Macaca mulatta: one gene and its partners. The protein of the gene in region 1 purifies or fractionates together with the protein of each later gene. This does not show direct contact. Links are inferred from orthologs where the notes say so. Each region holds a gene or a part of one and is shown in the gene's direction. Other genes may lie near its edges.

What was found.
Region 2: the proteins of PTPN6 (region 1) and CD22 purify together in Homo sapiens (affinity purification with western blotting; 5 studies listed by BioGRID and IntAct, with this or other methods). This does not show direct contact. The link is inferred for Macaca mulatta from reciprocal best matches to the Homo sapiens genes PTPN6 and CD22.
Region 3: the proteins of PTPN6 (region 1) and RPL35A purify together in Homo sapiens (affinity purification with mass spectrometry; 3 studies listed by BioGRID and IntAct, with this or other methods). This does not show direct contact. The link is inferred for Macaca mulatta from reciprocal best matches to the Homo sapiens genes PTPN6 and RPL35A.
Region 4: the proteins of PTPN6 (region 1) and CD72 purify together in Homo sapiens (affinity purification with western blotting; 3 studies listed by BioGRID). This does not show direct contact. The link is inferred for Macaca mulatta from reciprocal best matches to the Homo sapiens genes PTPN6 and CD72.

The regions. Positions count from the first base shown.
Region 1 is NC_133416.1:7,915,794-7,920,432, forward strand, and holds the start of PTPN6 (tyrosine-protein phosphatase non-receptor type 6), read left to right. Parts: upstream 1-1,457; 5' UTR 1,458-1,838; coding exon of another isoform or gene 1,839-1,852; intron 1,853-2,117; 5' UTR 2,118-2,218; coding exon 2,219-2,319; intron 2,320-4,639. Other genes in the region: C11H12orf57 (protein C10), read left to right, coding at 886-1,037. UniProt on the Homo sapiens protein: Tyrosine phosphatase enzyme that plays important roles in controlling immune signaling pathways and fundamental physiological processes such as hematopoiesis.
Region 2 is NC_133424.1:46,607,282-46,612,152, forward strand, and holds the start of CD22 (B-cell receptor CD22), read left to right. Parts: upstream 1-1,703; 5' UTR 1,704-1,968; coding exon 1,969-1,978; intron 1,979-4,155; coding exon 4,156-4,242; intron 4,243-4,688; exon of another isoform or gene 4,689-4,714; coding exon 4,715-4,871. UniProt on the Homo sapiens protein: Most highly expressed siglec (sialic acid-binding immunoglobulin-like lectin) on B-cells that plays a role in various aspects of B-cell biology including differentiation, antigen presentation, and trafficking to bone marrow.
Region 3 is NC_133407.1:982,246-986,899, reverse strand, and holds the start of RPL35A (60S ribosomal protein L35a), read left to right. Parts: upstream 1-1,716; 5' UTR 1,717-1,736; coding exon 1,737-1,747; intron 1,748-1,933; coding exon 1,934-2,086; intron 2,087-4,138; coding exon 4,139-4,283; intron 4,284-4,654.
Region 4 is NC_133420.1:64,085,369-64,088,987, forward strand, and holds the end of CD72 (B-cell differentiation antigen CD72), read left to right. Parts: intron 1-914; coding exon 915-1,027; intron 1,028-2,040; coding exon 2,041-2,173; 3' UTR 2,174-2,195; intron 2,196-2,477; exon of another isoform or gene 2,478-2,573; 3' UTR 2,574-2,805; downstream 2,806-3,619. Other genes in the region: TESK1 (dual specificity testis-specific protein kinase 1), read right to left, coding at 3,048-3,619. UniProt on the Homo sapiens protein: Co-receptor of B cell receptor (BCR) that plays both positive and negative roles on B-cell functions. Recognizes the Sm/ribonucleoprotein (RNP) self-antigen ligand, and coligation of CD72 and BCR inhibits BCR signaling.

The DNA.
Region 1 (4,639 bases):
AGTGTTTTGGATTTTTTCAGATTTCGGAATATTTACGTATACATGGATATCTTGGGGGATGGGACTCAAATCTGAACACGAAATTGTTTTGTTTCGTATACATACAGCTTAAGCACATAGCCTGAAGGTAATTTTATATAATAGTCTGAATAATCTTGTGCATAAGACAAAGTTTTGACTGCGTTTTGACTACAGTCCCCCCACCCCCACCCCCCACCATGAAGTCAGGTGTGGAATTTTCCATTTTTGGCTTCACACTGGCACTCAAATAATTTCAGATTTTGGGTTTTCTAATTAAGGATGGTCAACCTGTACTGTGAATCACATTATTATTACATTTTGTGATGAGGGAGCAAACGCTAATGGTGCAGACTTTTAGTAGTAGCAGAGCTGGACGTCAACGCTGTTGTGCCATCTTTTAGTGAGAGGTCTGCATTACAGCAGTGGCTGCAGTCTCTCCAGGGTGTTTCAGCTAATTTCTGTTTGGGGGTTGGTGGTTAAATTTTTGGTGAGATCCTGGTGTTCCCCAAAGGTGCTGACTGATTCAGCTCTGCTGCCCCGTAGCCTTCCTGCGTTCCAGCTACAGACCCGGGGTCTCGTGTTCATTCATGGGGTTCCAGTGACTAAACTGCTAAAAGGGTTCACCTGAGAGCAAGAAGCACACTGCCTTGGGATATTTTCATTCACTGCATCCCATCTAGTTGTGCCCAGTGTAGACCAAGAAGTTGATCCAAACCACATAGGACAGAGGCCTGCATGCGTCCTGTTTTGCAAACAGCTGCCCAGCCAGTGGGGAAGCAGTTCATGCTTAAACTACCACCCCCTCCAGCTGTCTTACGCAGCTGGTCCTTGGAAGAAGCGTTGACCCTCCACTCCCTCTTGCAGGTGTCCTTAAATTTGCTCGCTTGGTCAAGTCCTATGAAGCCCAGGATCCTGAGATCGCCAGCCTGTCAGGCAAGCTGAAGGCGCTGTTCCTGCCGCCCATGACCCTGCCACCCCACGGGCCTGCTGCTGGTGGCAGCGTGGCTGCCTCCTGAGAGTTGGCCCTCCCTGTGCCCCTGCCAGGGAAGAAAAGGCCTTGATGTTCCAGACGATAATAAACGTGCCTGTGACTTAGCCTTGGTGTCAGTCTTTTGCAGACTTGACAACCCCCATCTCACCTTCCCAGATTCCCTCTGCCTTTCCAGGCCCCATCCCCATGTACAGCTCCTTCCTATACTCCTGGCTGGGCCTAACCCTGCTCCAGTGAGGGCCTGAGGCTCCTCCCCTTCCCCCAGGGCAGGGTGAGAGGCTGGACTGGGCCCCTCGACGCTCTGGGTGGGTGGGCGGGCCTGCACTGGGGACACCTCCTTCTCTGAGGAATTGGGCTGTTAGGACTTTCCCTTAGGCCCTTTGGTTTCCACCTACTGAGAGCTTTCCCCCATTGGTTGCTCTTCCCTCAGCCAGGGTTACTTCCTGGTCTTTGCTCCTACCCAGCGTCCCGCTGCTCTGTCAGCTTGAGCTCCAGGTGGAGCTCCAGGTGGCTCCTCCTCTCCCGAGGGAAGGGGGCCCTGGCCCAGCGGGCAGGCCTGCTGTACTCCCGCACTGGGGCTGCAGGGAAGCTGGCCACTGTGGGCGGTCTCAGGCCAGCCCCGCCCCACCTGTCCTTTTCCCGGAGACTATTAGTCCAGGGTTTGTCCCTGCGGTGCCATTGGCCTGGCAGGCTGGATCGAGGAGGAAGTGGCTGATTTCTGAGTGGTTCTTCCTCTCCTGGCTTGGGCCGCTGTGCACAGCTGTGCCCCTGGCTCAGCCCCGCCCCCTGTGGCCCTCCGCTGTGACTTCCCCATCCCTACAGAGAGATGCTGTCCTGTGGGTAAGTCCCAGGCACCACCTGGGTCCTAGTCTCCTGTTAGTTTTGGAGGGAGGGAGGGCCTTGTTGATGCTCACTCCATCATGTATGTGAGCGTGAGTGCGATCTGCCGCTGCCCTGCCATGCGCCTGCTTCCGATCCCTATAAACCTTCCCCTTCCCGCAAAGTGTGAGGACCCCCAGGCTCACTCATGCCCCTCTGCCCCATCTTTAACATTTTCCGCCTGACAAGTGTGTATCTGTTCTCTCCATTGCATTTCTACTTCCAGCCTCTGGGCTCCTGCTTCTGTCTCCTGCTTAGGACCTGTCCCCCGTGGGTAGCTCACAACACCTGAAACAGCAATCAGAGGCCACCCGCGAAGGCCCTCCCATGCCCAGCCAACTTCCCCGCTCTTCCCAACATCTGACTTTGGTCCCATCTTCCTTCCGTTTCCTTTCACTTCCCGTTCCCCTGCATCATTCATTCAACAGGTACGTGTTGAGCGTCTGTTACACACCAGGTGTTGTTTAAGATGCTGGTAATACTGGAGTGAACAAGACAGACATGGTCCCTGCTCTCACGGAGCTTACATTCCAGTGGGAGGTTACAGACTGAACAAAAAACCCAATAAATTGGATCATTGCAGATTCTCAGAAGTGTTATGCAGTAAATGAAACAGCCTCGGCTGGGTGTAGTGGTTCACGCCTGTGATCCCAGCACATTGGGAGGCTGAGGCGAGACGATTGCTTGAGCCCAGGAGTTTGAGACCAGCCTGGCCATATAGTGAGACCCTGTCTCTACAAAAAATAAGAAATTAGCTGGGTATAGTGGAATGCGTCTGTGGTTCCAGCTATGAGCCTGGGAGGTCAAGGCTGCAGTGAGTAGTGATTGCACCACTGCACACCAGCCTGGGCGACAGAGCGAGACCTTGTCTCAAAGAAAAAAAAAGAAAATGAACCAGCTTCATGTGCTAGCAAGTGACTGGGTGTGCAGGTGACATTACTAGCTGGAGGGATCGGGGAGGCCTTCCCGAGGAGGTGACATTTGAGCTGAGACCTGCTTGAGGAGGAAGAGGAGCCAGCCATGTGATGTGGTGATCAAGGCCTGGGCAGAGGAGCTTCCCTGGGCAGAGGAGATGGTGAGCACAAAGCCCTAATGTGGGAACAAACAAAAAAAGGACCGTGTGTCCGTGGCAGAGGGCCCTCGTGGAGCAGAGGCAGGGCCACGGCAGGTTAGACCTTGTTGGATCTGGGATGTTGAAAGTGAAAACCTGGCCAGATGAGGTGGTGCATGCCTGTGATCCCAGCACTTTGGGAGGCCGAGATGGGAGGATCGCTTGAGCTCAGGAGTTTAAAACAAGCCTGGGCAACATAGAGAGATTCCATCTCTATTAAAAAAAAAAAAAAAAAATACTGGGTGTGATGGCCCAAGCATGTAGTAGTCCCAGCAGTTTGGGAGACTGAGGTGGGAGGATCACTTGAGCCTAGGAGTTCAAGACCACGCCGGGCAACATACAGAGAGACCCCATCTCAACTATGACTACTACTACTAAATAGCTGGACATAGTGGCACGCACCTGTGGTCTCAGTTACTTGGGAGGCTGAGGCAGGAGGATCACCTGAGCCAAGGAGGTTGAGACTGCAGTGAGTTGTGATTGTGACACTGCACTTTTCAGCCTGGGTGACAAAGCAAGATTCTGTGTCATAAAAAGAGAGAGAGAGAGAGAGGAAGGAAGGAAGGAAGAAAGGAAGGAGAGGAAGAAAGAAAAAAAAAGAGAAAGAAGGAAGAAAAGGAAAGCGAGAAAGAGGAAAGAAGAAAAAAAATAAAGAGAAAAAGAAAAAGTGACAACTGGCCAAAAGAAAGAAGAAAGAAAAAGTGACAACTGGCTGGGCGCGGTGGCTCACGCCTGTAATCCCAGCACTTTGGGAGGAGTTCGAGACCAGCCTGGCCGACATAGTGAAACCCTGTCTCAACTAAAGATACAAAAAAAGAAAAGAAAAGAAAAGAAAAAAAATTAGGCGGGCACAGTAGGGCGCACCTGTAGTCCCAGCTACTAGGGAGGCTGAGGCAGGAGAATTGCTCGAACCTGGGAGGCAGAGGTTGCAGTGAGCCAAGTCTGCGCCACTGTACTCCAGCCTGGGCGACAGGGAGAGACTCCATCCCCAAAAAAAATACAAAAAAGAAAAAGTGACAACCTGATTACAGAGTACTGGTGAGTTTGTGGGTGGGTGGCTCCCCAGCCCTGCTGATTCTTGCTTCTCACACTCACATCTGCTCCTGCCCCAGTGCACGTCTTGTCACTGTCGGCCCCACCGATGGGGTTCCAACTGAGTCTTCTGGTGCTTGATCCTTTCCGTGGTCATTTTCCTGCCAGGTAGCTTGGCCAGGCCTCCCCTGGTGCAGATTCCATCCTTGGTTTCTCAGCCTGGCCTTGAATGACCCTCTACAGCAGGGTCCCAACCTCTCAGAGCAGCTTTGCTTCAGCCACACAGCTTGCTCACAGCCAGGCACTGCACATGTGGACTCTGTGCGTGCCACCCCTTTGCCCTGATGCATGTTGCCTCTGGGGGAGCACTTCTTCCTCCACCTTCCATCATGGGCTGTGGTGGTGCCTATCCCATCTGACCCTGACGCTGTCTGCTGCGGTATGGTTGGTGGTGGAAAGGGCACCAGGCTCCGGCATCTGACATCCTTGTTTTACCCACCTTCCCACTCACTAGCTTGTGACCCTGGCCAATTACTTAACATCTCTGAGTGTTAGTTTCTATTTCTATAATTGGGTGAATAACACCTACTAAGTAGTGTTGGCCT
Region 2 (4,871 bases), on another chromosome or scaffold:
CAAGATATCTTTTTCCTCCTCAATATCTATGTGCTCCTCCCTCAACCTTTGGGGGCTTCAGTGTAGGTGGTCAGATTCCCCACCATTTATGCCTCTGATGAAAGGAGTGGAAATGGTAATAACTGGATGGTGTCACTAAACTACAAATACTTTCAGGTGGGCCTGTGCCTTTTTCAGCGGGCTCCAGTTCTCCTGCTTGACTTGAGTCATTCGCATTTCCTGAGAGCTGGGTAGAGGGGGAGTTGTGAAGGAGCCCATTCTGAAACTGATCTGATATTGCAAACCCACACACTGAAAGGAAGAACTGCCCATACATACTCGAGTCTTCCGATCTGACTCCGAGCCCGCATCCCCCTCATTCGTCTCTTTTCCCCACTCCCCAGATCATGATGCTACTTGGTCCCCCTCAGAGCCATAGAGAAGCAGGGGGTGTGGCCATGGAGGGGAAACCTCTGTCACCAGAGACTTTACTGTACTTCTCCTTTTGCTCTCAGATGCTGCCAGGGTCCCTGAAGAGGGAAGACACGCGGAAAGAGGTAAAAACCATTTTGCTTTTATTTTGCATTCAACAAGCAAATTATTATGGAACAGCAGTTATAGGCCAGGCATACCTCCCAGAGCTGGGAATACAGTGGGGACCTCCCTGGCTCTCTCTTACCTGTGTTACAACAGGTTGTAGACAGACCCCTGTCTTGAGCATCCTCCTTGTCAGGCCTGTTGAGTCTTCTGAGAGTAGGGTAGGTTACTGGATGCCTAGGAGGGAAGAAGGAGCCAGGGAGGCCGGCCCCAAGGTTCTGCAAGGCCCTCAACAGGCCTGGACTGAGGAGGTCTGGACAGCATGGCCCTGTCCTGAGCCTCTGTGCATAATAACTGCTGTCCCTAACCTCCACCCCACCCTCAGCCTTCCAATTCCCGGGCCTGGGGCCCTACTCCTGTGCTCCAGAGACTCCTGGAGCTCCTTGAGGCAGCACACAGCCCTGCTCTGGAGACACTCATATCCCACTCATGCTGGGATGCTCCAGCCCGGCCCAGAGCAGGCTGTGGCTGGAGGGTGCCGGCAGAGGAGGGACGATGGCCCGGCTCCTGGAGGCAAGTGTTGGCTGCAGGAAAAGAGTCTATTCCGTCCCACAGCCCTTGTTACCCCTTAGGTAACCTTAAGGGGATTTCAGAGAACACTGGTCCTGCAACCCTGCAAAGTTTTTTATGGAACATGTAAAATAGATCCCATGGTCAAAGAAGTATGGACAATGTATTATACTATACTCTAATCTCCATATCTAGAGATTAATGGTGTAGATAGAGTTTCCTAAAACGTTTTTAAAGCCCTGCAGTAAAGAATCTTACTTAAGCCAGGTGCGGTGGCTCACACCTGTAATCTCAGCACTTTGGGAGGTCAAGTTGGGGGGATCACCTGAGGTCAGGAGCTTGAAACCAGCCTGGCCAACATGGTGAAACCCCATCTCTACTAAAACAAACAGACAAACAAACAAATACATCAGACAGGTGTGGTGGCGCACGCCTGTAGTCCCAGCTACTCAGGAGGCTGAGGCAGGAGAATCACTTGAACCCTAGAGGCAGAGGATGCAGTGAACTGAGATCACACCACTGCACTCCAGCCTGGGTGACAGAAGAATGAGACTCTGTCTCAAAAAATAATAATAATAATAATAATTTTACTTAACTCTTTAACCCTGCCTTTCTCAAGTGTACGTGACCTTGAAGACGTTTTTTGCATGTGACATTATGAGCACTTGCAGGGCTCATGTCAACTCTGCCTGGGGAATCTGCCTCAGCTTCAGACCCTGCACCCCAAATTCATGCTCAGGTCAAGCGAGACCCCCTTCCTGCTGTCCACAAGCAGCTTAGCTTTCCCCACACCCATGAACTGACACCTGGCAGCCCTCGGCATGAGCCGTGTGGCCCGAGGAGATAAACACAGAGAGAGAGAGGAACACTGATGCGTGGGAAATGTTGGCAGGTGAGTGGGAGGGACTTGGGTTGGTGCTGAGACCGGAGACACACTCTGCTGTCACATCCTTCGGGGTCCCCGGGGGCCAGCACGGAGGGCCACGATCATGTAAATTGGGACTTAAATTTAACTCTATGTAAATATAACTCTATGCAGAGGTCAGGGATGGTGGAGGATAAGCTCATTGCAGAGAAAGAGAGAAAGACGGGCAGCAATTACAGAACCTAACCCACAGATAGGTTTTGTTTGACCAGCTCTGCATATTTTTAGTTTGTGTATTTTTTCTTTTTTCTTTTCTTTTTTTTTTTTTGTTTTTTGAGACGGAGTCTCGCTCTGTCGCCCAGGCTGGAGTGCAGTGGCGCGATCTCCACTCACTGAAAGCTCCACCTCCCAGGTTTACGCCATTCTCCTGGCTCAGCCTCCCATGTAGCTGGGACTACAGGCGCCCGCCACCTCGCCCGGCTAATTTTTGTATTTTTAGTAGAGACGGGGTTTCACCGTGTTAGTCAGGATGGTCAGGATCACCTGACCTCGTGATCTGCCTGTCTCGGCCTCCCAAAGTGCTGGGATTACAGGCGTGAGCCACCGCACCCAGCCTATTTTTTATTTTTTCAAGACAGGGTCTCGCCCTATTGCCCAGGCTGGAGTGCAGTGGGGAGATCACCATTCACTGCAGGCTTGACCTCCTGGGCTCAACTGATCCTCCCACCTCAGCCTCCTAATTAACTGAGACCACAGGTGTGCGCCACCATGCCTGGCTAATTTTTAAACTTTTTTTGTAGAGACGTGGTCTTGTTATGTTGGCCAGGCTGGTCTCAAACTCCTGACCTCAAGTAATCCTCCCACATTGGCCACTTCTCCTTGGTCTATTTTTCTTTTTAAGTAGGTCACTCCACTTAGAAGTTTAGCTTCTTACTTCTCTTACAGTGGAAGATCAGACAGTGCTGAGCTCAGGTTCTGTCTGGCAATAACTGACTAGAACTGAGGCAGCTACCACCTTTAGAGGAGGTACAACCTTTGTCCCCACTTGGTTGATTTACGTTTCCTACCTGGCCTGTGGGGCATTCTCCAGAGACCTTCCAGACCCCTCAAAATGCTCTCCTGGTGTCACACTTTATTTTTTGTTTTGTTTTTGTTCTGAGACAGGATCTGGGTCTGTCACCCAGGCTGGAGTGCAGTAGCACGATCTTGGCTCACTGCAACCTCCACTTCCCGGGTTCAAACAACTATCCTGCCTCAGCCTCCCGAGTAGCTGGGATTACAGGTGTGCGCCACCACGCCCAGCTAATTTTTTGCATTTTTAGTAAGATGGGGTTTTGCCATGTTGGCCAGGCTGGTCTTGAACTCCTGACCTCAAGTGATCTGCCTGCCTTGGCATCCCAAAGTATTGGGATTACAGGTGTTAGCCACTGCACCTGGCTCACCCATACTTTGTTACTGGTTTTAAAATTCCTTTTTGCCTGGTCTTTCAAACCAAGTTTTGACCATGTCTGTCCCTGAGTATAATCCGTGATGAGTAGCACCAGAGAGAGCTCCATGTTATCCGGGGCCTGGCATTCAAGGCACTCAGTGGTCTGGTGCCACTCAAAGTCTGCAAGCCAGGCAGGAAGTTTGTAAAATTAGAGATGGATGAATGGATGGATGGAAAAAAGGAAGCAAGGGAGGAAGGAAGGAAGAAAGGAAGGAGTTCTGGGAAGAGAGAGAAGCTGCCCTCACAGGGCTCTCAGTTTGAAGGAGAGGCACAGCATACCTAGAAAAAACTCCCGGCCAGGAGTGGTGGCTCACCCCTGTAGTCCCAGCACTTTGGGAGGCCGAGGCTGGCAGATCACCTGAGGTCAGGAGTTCAAGATCAGCCTGGCCAACATCGTGAAGCCCCATCTCTACTGAAAATACAAAAATCAGCCAGGCGTGGTGACACCTGCCTTTACCCAGCTACTTGGGGGGCTGAGGCCAGAGAAGTGCTTGAGCCTGGGAAGCAGAGGTTGCAGTGAGCGGAGATTGCACCACTGCACTCTAGCCTGGGAGACAGAGCAAGACTCTGTCTCAAAAAAAAAGAAAGAACTCTGTGAGCATCTCAAATGCCACATCCCCATAATGCAACCAGACCCAGTCCTCCTAGATCTAGGGGAAGGGTTGGAGCTCAGTGGGTGAGCAAGAAAAGCCATGTGGAAGAAGTCAGTGGCCAGATGGCTCAAAGACAAACTCTCCCCTGCTCAGGCTTCCACCCAGACACGACACCATGCATCTCCTCGGCCCCTGGCTCCTGCTCCTGGGTAAGGACTGTGGCCTGGGCCAGTACTGGGGTTCTGGGATGTCAGTGGGCACTGGAGGAGGAGAAAAGACCCGGGCAGAGAGGCGTCAACATAGGGTAGGGTGGGGGTGGCAGTGTGTATAGATAGATGTACATACAAATATATATGTTTCCCATATATACATACGCTTCTCTCATTGCATCCTGCTGTCTTTGTGTATCTCTGTATTTCTCCCACTATCTTCAGAGAGAATTCTTTAGTTTTTGGAAAGCTCTCAGCTGGGTGCAATGGCTCATGCCTGAAATGTCAGCACTTTGTGAGGCTGAGGTGGGAGGATCACTTGAGGTCAAGAGTTTGAAGCCAGCTTGGGCAACTTAGCAAGACCCCTATCTCTAAAAAGAATTAAAAATTAAACAAATTTTAAAATAAAGAATAATTTGTAAAAGAAGGCTCTCGTGCCCCCTCAGTAATGCTTTCTGATCACTGTGGTGAGTTCTAGAATACTTGGCTTTCTCTGACTCAAGTAAATGGAATATTGAGCACCCTGGAACCATCTACGCCTGGGAGGGGGCCTGCGTCTGGGTCCCCTGCACCTACAGAGTCCTAGATGGTGCCCTGGAAACCTTCATCCTGTTCCACAATCCTGAGTA
Region 3 (4,654 bases), on another chromosome or scaffold:
TTAAATAAATGAATGAATCCATAGGGTAACCCAAATAAATATGCAATAATTCGGAAATGTGAATCTCTGGCGTCCATTAATCCACCTCTACAAGTATCTACGGAGGACCTATTAGACACGGACACGGGGCAGCTAAACGAGTTCTCCTAAAAGGGCGATAAAGCCTCCTGCAGGCAGTCCCTCTCATACCTCGGATCCAAAAAGAAGAATGGAGGCAAGAACTTAAGTCATTTCATTCTTTTTTTTTTTTTTCTTTTGTAGAGATGGGGGAAGGTGGTCTCACTATATTGCCCAGGCTGGTCTCGAACTCCTAGCCTCAAGCGATCCTCCCGCCTCGGTTTCCCAAAGAACTGGGCTTACAGGCGTGAGCCACCGTGTCCAGTCTCGTTTCTTGAAAGAGATAGATAAGTAGAGGGCAGAAAAAAAGCATAGAAAAATAAAAAAGAGAAGGAAGAGGTCCTGCTGCCTTCGTGCTCCCGGCCTTTCTCTTTCATGCTAGGTTAGGATCCCAGAATCCTAACCTAGAATTTCCGTTCTGTCTATTGCTTGTGGATCGAGGGATATGCACCCGCCTGTTGGCAAATCAATCTTACAATCATTCTTCAGGCAGTGGGAACGTCCTCCACTCACGGTGCGCCTTTCCATCAACAGCGTCCGGTGACGCGGGAAGTAAACTAAGCTGTTTCTATGGCAACGCACAGCTTTGGCGGATTTAGCTGGCTACCATTTTGCCTTCCCCTGTTCCCAAGTAATACATTTTGCAGCCTACCAAGATGAAAGGACTTAGGAAAATAATTGTAAGAGTGCTCTTGAATGTGGCTTATTTCAGCGCGAAGGCGATTTCCGAGGATTGCTTTTCTGGCGTTTGGAGAAGATGCCTAAATTGAGGGCGGGGTCGAGAGATGTTTAATCCCACAAGGCCACGCGGCGGGGCCTCGTCTTTCTCTTCCCGCCATCTTGGCTCCTGTGGAGGTGAGTGAAGCGCCTGCTGCTGAAATTTGGGGGCAAATAACCGGAGCAGGTTTGTTCCTATACCGCGGCGAGTCGCCGGTGTGTATCGGAGTCTCCGCCAGCCATTGATTTCTATGGGTTTCAAGAAGAGGGAGAGCAGGATGGAGCAGATGTTGGGCCGATGGTGCTTGGTCCTCTGACGCCCGGAGAACGGCTGCCCGGGTTATCCGAGTTAAATTCCTGGGCCTGAGCGGAGTGAAATGATGATTTTGTTCGTCTGCAGTTGTCCATGAGGCAGTGCTTCCTTTCGGCCAGGGTTTTTCCGTTTCCTCCCAGTCCAAACCTCCCTTTGCTTGTCTGACCAGTCTCTTCCCTCAGCTTTTCTCCGAGACCCAGCCGATGCATAAGTCTTAGGTGTGAGTCTCTGATGAAGTCTTCATTCCTTTTCCTGAGTGTTGCCTCCTGACAATGGCATGCATTTTCTCAGGCTTTTCTGAGAGTTATTTTTGTGGCTCTTGTCCCTTAGTTTTGTCTTCATTCTGAAGTTTGCTTAGATACCAGCTGTTCTCTGAGGTTTGATTGTCTCGCCGGAGCCTGCGTTTCATGTGGATGATGTTCTGGCATAATTGTCCCCTTACTCCTACGAGAAACTCCGATCCAAAAGGAATTTGCCTTCGGGGCTTAAACGAGAGGGGACGAGGTGAGAAACTTGCGTGGCTTGGTTTCAAACTGAATCTTTTTGTTTGTTTTAAGGCCTGCTGGGAGCGGGACTTCTAAAAGGAACTATGTCTGGAAGGTACGCGTTTTAAATATGGTTGCTCTTTGTGTGTGTGTGTTAGACGTGAATGTTTAAATGCGAGCTTAAAATTAGCAAGAAAAAACTTAAGATGTTTGCTCTGAGTAACTTTTGGGTGGGGGTTATTACAAGTCAAATTGGTTTTCTGAAGCTTATGTTTCATGTTGTGTATCTTTTGTGTCTTAGGCTGTGGTCCAAGGCCATTTTTGCCGGCTATAAGCGGGGTCTCCGGAACCAAAGGGAGCACACAGCTCTTCTTAAAATTGAAGGTGTTTATGCCCGAGATGAAACAGAATTCTATTTGGGCAAGAGATGCGCTTATGTATACAAAGCAAAGAAGTAAGTTTATGACACTGGTAGGTTTTGGGTTTTTATTTTGGGATCTGCCTCATTTTCTTTTTTATATAACGGAGTCTTGCTCTGTTGCCCAGGCTGGAGTGCAGTGACTTGGTCTCCCTCACCGAAACTTCCGCCTCCCGGGTTCAAGCGATTCTCCTGCCTCAGCCTCCCGAGTAGCTGGGATTACAGGCGCCCGCCACCACGCCCGGCTACTTTTTGTGTTATTATTAGAGACAGTGTATTGCCATGTTGGCCAGGCTGGTCTCAAACTCCTGACTTCAGGTGATCACCCACCTCGGTCTCCCAAAGTGCTGAGATTACAGGCTTGAGCCACTGTGCCTGGCCTCATTATCCTATTGAGATAATAAAATATTTGGCTGAAGTACTTGGTATTGTTTTTTTTTTTGTTTTTGTGACAAGAGTCTCGCTCTGTTGCCCAGGTTGGAGCTCAGTGGCGCGATCCCAGCTCACTGCATCCTCTGCCTCCTGGCTCAAGCGATTCTCCTGCCTCAGCCTCCTGGGTAGCTGGGCTTACAGGGGTGCACCACCATGCCCAGCTAATTTTTGTATTTTTACTAGAGAATGGGTTTCCCCATGTTGGCCAGGCTGGATTGGTATTGCTATGGCTTCTATTTTGTGTCATTAAGGAACTTAATGAGGAGTCTTAGAAGGACGTTACTTCTGAGGGTGGTGTTGGATTTAGGTACCTTTTGCACTTGAAAACAATAAAGGAGCTAATTCCTTATATTGTGATCCTTTTAAGGCTTCTAATTTTTTTTCTCGGCTCCTTTTGCCAGAACTTAAGGATTTTTAGAACACTTGGCGCTTAATGCATTTTGTTAATGCCTTAAAAATACGTTTTTTTTGTTTGTTTTGTTTTTTGAGACGGAGTCTCGCTGTGTCACCCAGGTGCAGTAGCATGATATCAGCTTATCGGCTCACCACAACCTCCACCTCCCAGGTTCACGCGATTCTCCTGCCTCAGCCTCCCGAGTAGCTGGGATTACAGGCGCCTGCCACCACACCCGGCTAATTTTTGTATATTTAGTAGAAACAGGGTTTCACCATTTTGGCCAGACTGTTCTTGAACTCCTGACCTTGTGATCCAGCCACTTTAGCCTCCCAAAGTGCTGGGATTACAGGCGTGAGCTATCCTGACATTGCACTTTAGTCTGGACAACAAGAGCAAATCCTATTTTCTTCACCCACTCCAAGCCAATTAAAATCTCTGGGAAAGGGTTTTAATCATTGCCCCACCTTTTCTTCTACAGCCAAGAATAAATTTTAAGTCAGGTTCAGTGACTCACACCTGTAGTCCCAGCATTTGAGAGGCCCAGGTGGGAGGATTGCTTGATGCCAGTAGGTAGAGGCTGCAGTGAGCTATGATTCGGCCACTATACTGCAGCCTGGGTGACAAGACAACCCTGTGGTCTTTAAAGGAAAAATATATAAAGTCGCATCCTTTGTACATTGCTGGAACTCAGTGGTTTCTCTCATTCAGTAAAAGCCCGTCATTAAGGGCTCCATAATTCTCTTATCTCAGCAGGGATTAACCCCTTGGTGTCTTCAGTCTTTCCTCCGGTCAGAACACACCTTGCTTGGCCCCAGTGCCTGCGCTAGTCATCCCCTGATCACTTCCTGGCGCTTCTCCCCCTCCTTTCCAGTCTTTGTTCCATTGTCACCTCAGTGAGACCTTCCTTGGCTATTTAAAATGGCAGGTAATTCCTCCTTTCTGTACACACAAACATCGTCACACCTGTCCTTTTGCTGTTTTTTCAGTATTGCCTCTGTTATCTGACGTATGTATTTCCTTATACTTGGTTATCGGTTTTGAAAGGGATTTTTATTTTATAGCTGCTGTGTTTTACAGAAGGGCCTGGCATACAGTAGGTACTCGATAAGTATCTGTTGAATGAATGGTGTTCCAGGCATTTAAAGTTTCTCAGGTGATGAAGTGGGTAACCAGGGTTGAGCCACTCGTCTAGAGATCACCTTGAATTTGTATCCAACTATATTGGCCTGTATTCCTCTTCTTTCCCTTTTTAAAATCAGCAACACAGTGACTCCAGGCGGCAAACCAAATAAAACCAGAGTCATCTGGGGAAAGGTAACTCGGGCCCATGGAAACAGTGGCATGGTTCGTGCCAAATTCCGAAGCAATCTTCCTGCTAAGGCCATTGGACACAGAATCCGAGTGGTGAGTATGGTTTTTAGCAAAACGGAAATCTGATGAATCAGACTGAGGTCAAGGTGTTGCATTTTGACTTCTGAGGACTTGTGTGATTGTGAAATTGACACCAGTAAATTATGCTGCAAAATTTGTGTATTGCAGAATGCTGGGGAGAAATAGTAATTGAAATAATAGGTGTTTGGTGTTTTTTGTTGTTGTCACCCAGGCTGGGGTGCAGTGGCATAATCACAGCTCACTGCAGCCTCGACCTCCTGGGCTCAAGCAATCCTCCCACAGCCCCCCAAGTAGCTGGGACCATAGGCATGTGCCACCACACCCAGCTAGTTTTTGGGGTTTTTGTTTTGTTCTGTTGTTTTTGAGACAAGGTCTCACTTTGT
Region 4 (3,619 bases), on another chromosome or scaffold:
ATGGTGGGTACTATTCGGTAAAGGGACATATGTCATCAAGTCAGGAATGGCAGTGCATACATGGCTGGGGTGGCCATTCCTTTTCCGTGGAAGAAACTGAGAATCACAATACTCTTGAACTCTGAGCTTGGAAACAACCTCTGCATCTTCTCAGCACAGTGGTCCAGGCAGCCCCTACTAACTGATTAGAGTTGGCATGAGAGTAGAAACTTAGGAACCATATCTACATTTTTTTTTTTTTTTTTTTTTTGAGGCAGAGTCTCACTCTGTCACCCAGGCTGGAGTGCAATTCCATAATCTCAGCTCACTGCAACCTCTGCCTCCTGGGTTCAAGCAATTCTCCTGTCTCAGTTTCCCGAGTAGCTGGGACTACAGTCACACACCACCACGCCCAGCTAATTTTTGTATTTTTAATAGAGACGGGGTTTCACCATATTGGTCAGGCTGGTCTCTAATTCCTGACCTCAGGTGATTCACCTGCCTCAGCCTCCCAAAGTGCGGGATTACAGGTGTGAGCCACCGCACCTGGCCTCTACTTTAATCTGTATCTCATCTCAGCTTGCTAGTCAGCTCCCTGGGCTGCTTGACAGGTTCCTTGACTCTTGTGGCCTCTCAGGCAGAGAGGTTCCACACCTGGTGGGCTGGATTGTAGGGATTAGTTCCTTGGGGCCAGAACAGCACACACAATGACTCCCCTCCAAAGGCTGGCAGAGATTCTTACTCAGCTGGAAAGCAAATTGAGCACTGAGCCTGCATCTGCAGGGTGGCACTTGGTGGATTCAGGGACCAGTTACCAAAGAGCTGTCATATATACAGCCCCCTTGCCGAAGCTGAGGCCTCCCTAGGGCATGCATTTTCTTCCGTATTTCTCATCACTCTCCACATATCTCTGGTCTCTCTGAATCTCTCCTTAGTATTACTTCATCTTAAATTCGCTGTTGCCAAATGGTGGTTCAGGGAATTCATACTGGACTGGCCTCAGCTCTAACAAGGATGAGAAGTTTACTGATGATACACAATACATTAGGTAAGTTTGTTAGGACTCTGGGTATTTTCAACTCCATAATCCCCTCCATAAAGACATGGTAATCAGATTTCCTCTCCACCTGCTTCCCTCAGAACTCTCCCATAAATCAACACTGTAATTGCCTATTTGTCTGTTTCCTCTATTTGATTAATAACTTCTTAAGGCAATCTTATTCTCCATTATATTTCCACCTAGAAGTCCCTGGCACATGCTTTTTTGTTTCAGTAACTACTAGGTTGGGACCTATGCTAGCTTTTAGGGGGAGACATTAAGGATTTAGTTAAGGCTCCACAGCTGATGACAGCAGCATTTCTCCATCCTTTGACAAGGCCACCCAAACTGAGGTTGTACTTTCTCAGTAGCAGCCACTCGGGGCACTAGAGCTACCTCAGTGAAGTAAGCAAGGGAGCAGTGGGGGTACCATCAAAGCTCCACTTCACTGTGATCAAGGGAGCAGTGGGGTACCATTGAGGATCAACCCTAGGGACCCTGAAACAGGGTGGCAGCCTCCTTATGTTCCCTAATTGGCCTTCCCATCTTTTTTTTGAGACAGAGTCTCGCTCTGTTGCCTAGGCCGGAGTACAGTTGTGCAATCTTGGCTCACTGCAAGCTCCGCCTCCTGGGTTCACACCATTCCCCTGCCTCAGCCTCCCCATGCCTGGCTAATTTTTTGTATTTTTAGTAGAGATGGGGTTTCACCGTGTTAGCCAGGATGGTCTCGATCTCCTGACCTCGTGACCCGCCCGCCTCAGCCTCCCACAAGTGCTGGGATTACAGGCATGAGCCACCGCGCCTGGCCTGCATCTTTATGACCTGGAGTGATTTTTCCCTCTGCTGGTTCTAAAGCCTGTTTTAGTTGAACTCCAGACATCTGTCCTGAACCATGCCCAGATGTGGCCTTAGGCAGGCAAAGCGACTTAGGACTTAGGTTTTATGCAGGGAAAGGGGAGAGAAGGGAGGGTAGGATAGGAGGGGTCCAGAGCTTATCCCAGCTCTACCTTATTACTTTTTAGGGTTTATGTTCAAAGTTCAAAATGTACCAAGGTACAAAAAGGTTGGTCACGGTATTGGACAATGGAGAAAGAGGCATGTGGAAGTCCTCTTCCCTTCATCTGTGAGATGACAGCTTTCAGATTTCCAGATTAGGACAACCCTTTACACTGAACTGGTAAGAGTGAGGGATGGGGCCAAGGCATGGGGAGTCCAGGGGCAGAGGGACTCAGAGCAGGGACCCAGGGGCCCGAGGGAAAACTTGTACCTGGGATGAAAGTTCCTCCACAGCCTCCAGTTGCTTGGTCTGCTTATGTTAGGATGGGGTGGGCAGGGAGAGGGACAGGAAAGGCCTAGAACTTATGGGAGGCTGGTGATGTGGCTGTCGGGGTGACGGGGTGAGCGGGATGAGGGTTCAGTTAAGTCAACCATGGAGCTCACCGATACTTTACTCTTCCAGACACTCATGCCAACAAGAAACTGTGCCCCTCCTTCCTAACCTGAGGCCTGCGGGTCCTCAGACCATGTCCTCCCTGTGTTCCCTCATTCTGGGCAGTGTCCAGCCACCAGCTGATCCACACCTGACACTTCCAGCCAGCCTGCTGCCTGCTCCCTCTTCCTGAAACTGGACTGTTCTTGGGAAAAGGGTGAAGCCACCTCTAGAAGGGACTTTGGCCTCCCTGCAAGAACTTCCCATGGTAGAATGGGGCGGGGGAGGAGGGCGCATGGGTTGAGTGGATAGGGGCGGCCCGGAGCCAGCCAGGCAGTTTTATTGAAATCTTTTTAAATAATTGCACGTGTTAGTCTCATGTGTCAGCAATGCTGTGTCTGGTTCAGTGATCCCCATGGGAACACGAGCCGGGGATTGAACTGGAAGTGCTCTGTCCCTCGAGTCCATGCTGGGGCTCCCCTACACAGGGAGAAGAGCCGGTCAGCCCATCTGGAACTGGCACTGTCCAGCAAGTGTGCTCTGTTCTTACAGGGTGTCCTGAAGGCCAAAGTTGGAGGCCTGAGACCACAGGCTCCAATGCTAAGAGCGTGCCCCGGGCAGTTGCAGGCTGGGTGTGGGTGGCTTGGCATGGTGCCCTCGGTGGCAGAGGAGACTGCCCGCCTCACAGTTCAGGTTGCGGTAGCGGGCAACAGCTGGTGTGGGGCGGGGGCACATGGACAGGAAGCCAAAGCTGAAGGGGCCGAGGCAGCAGCCAGGACAGGGCAGCCCCTCATCAGGCTCCCGGGGAGCTGAAGGGGGTGGCGAGGGTTCTGTCCGCTCCAGGGCTGCCGCCCGGGGCAGGCTATGCTGGGCCCGGTTCCAGGGCTCCCCAGCCCAGCCTTGTGGGGAGTTCACCACCACAGCTGGGGGATTGTTATTGAGGACAGGTCCTGATCTAGGGGACCAGGGTTGGGTGGCCGAGGAACAGGTGCTGATGAAGTTGTCTGTGGCCACAGCCAGAGGCAGCTGGGGCGCTGGTCCTGGAGGTTCCGGCTCAGGGCTGCTGCCCTCACACTCCATCTTCTCTTCAGCCGAGGGGCCCACGGGGGGAGGGCCAGGACCTGGAAGTGCTGTCTCCATACGGCGGGGGAGCTCAGGGGATGAAGGTAGTG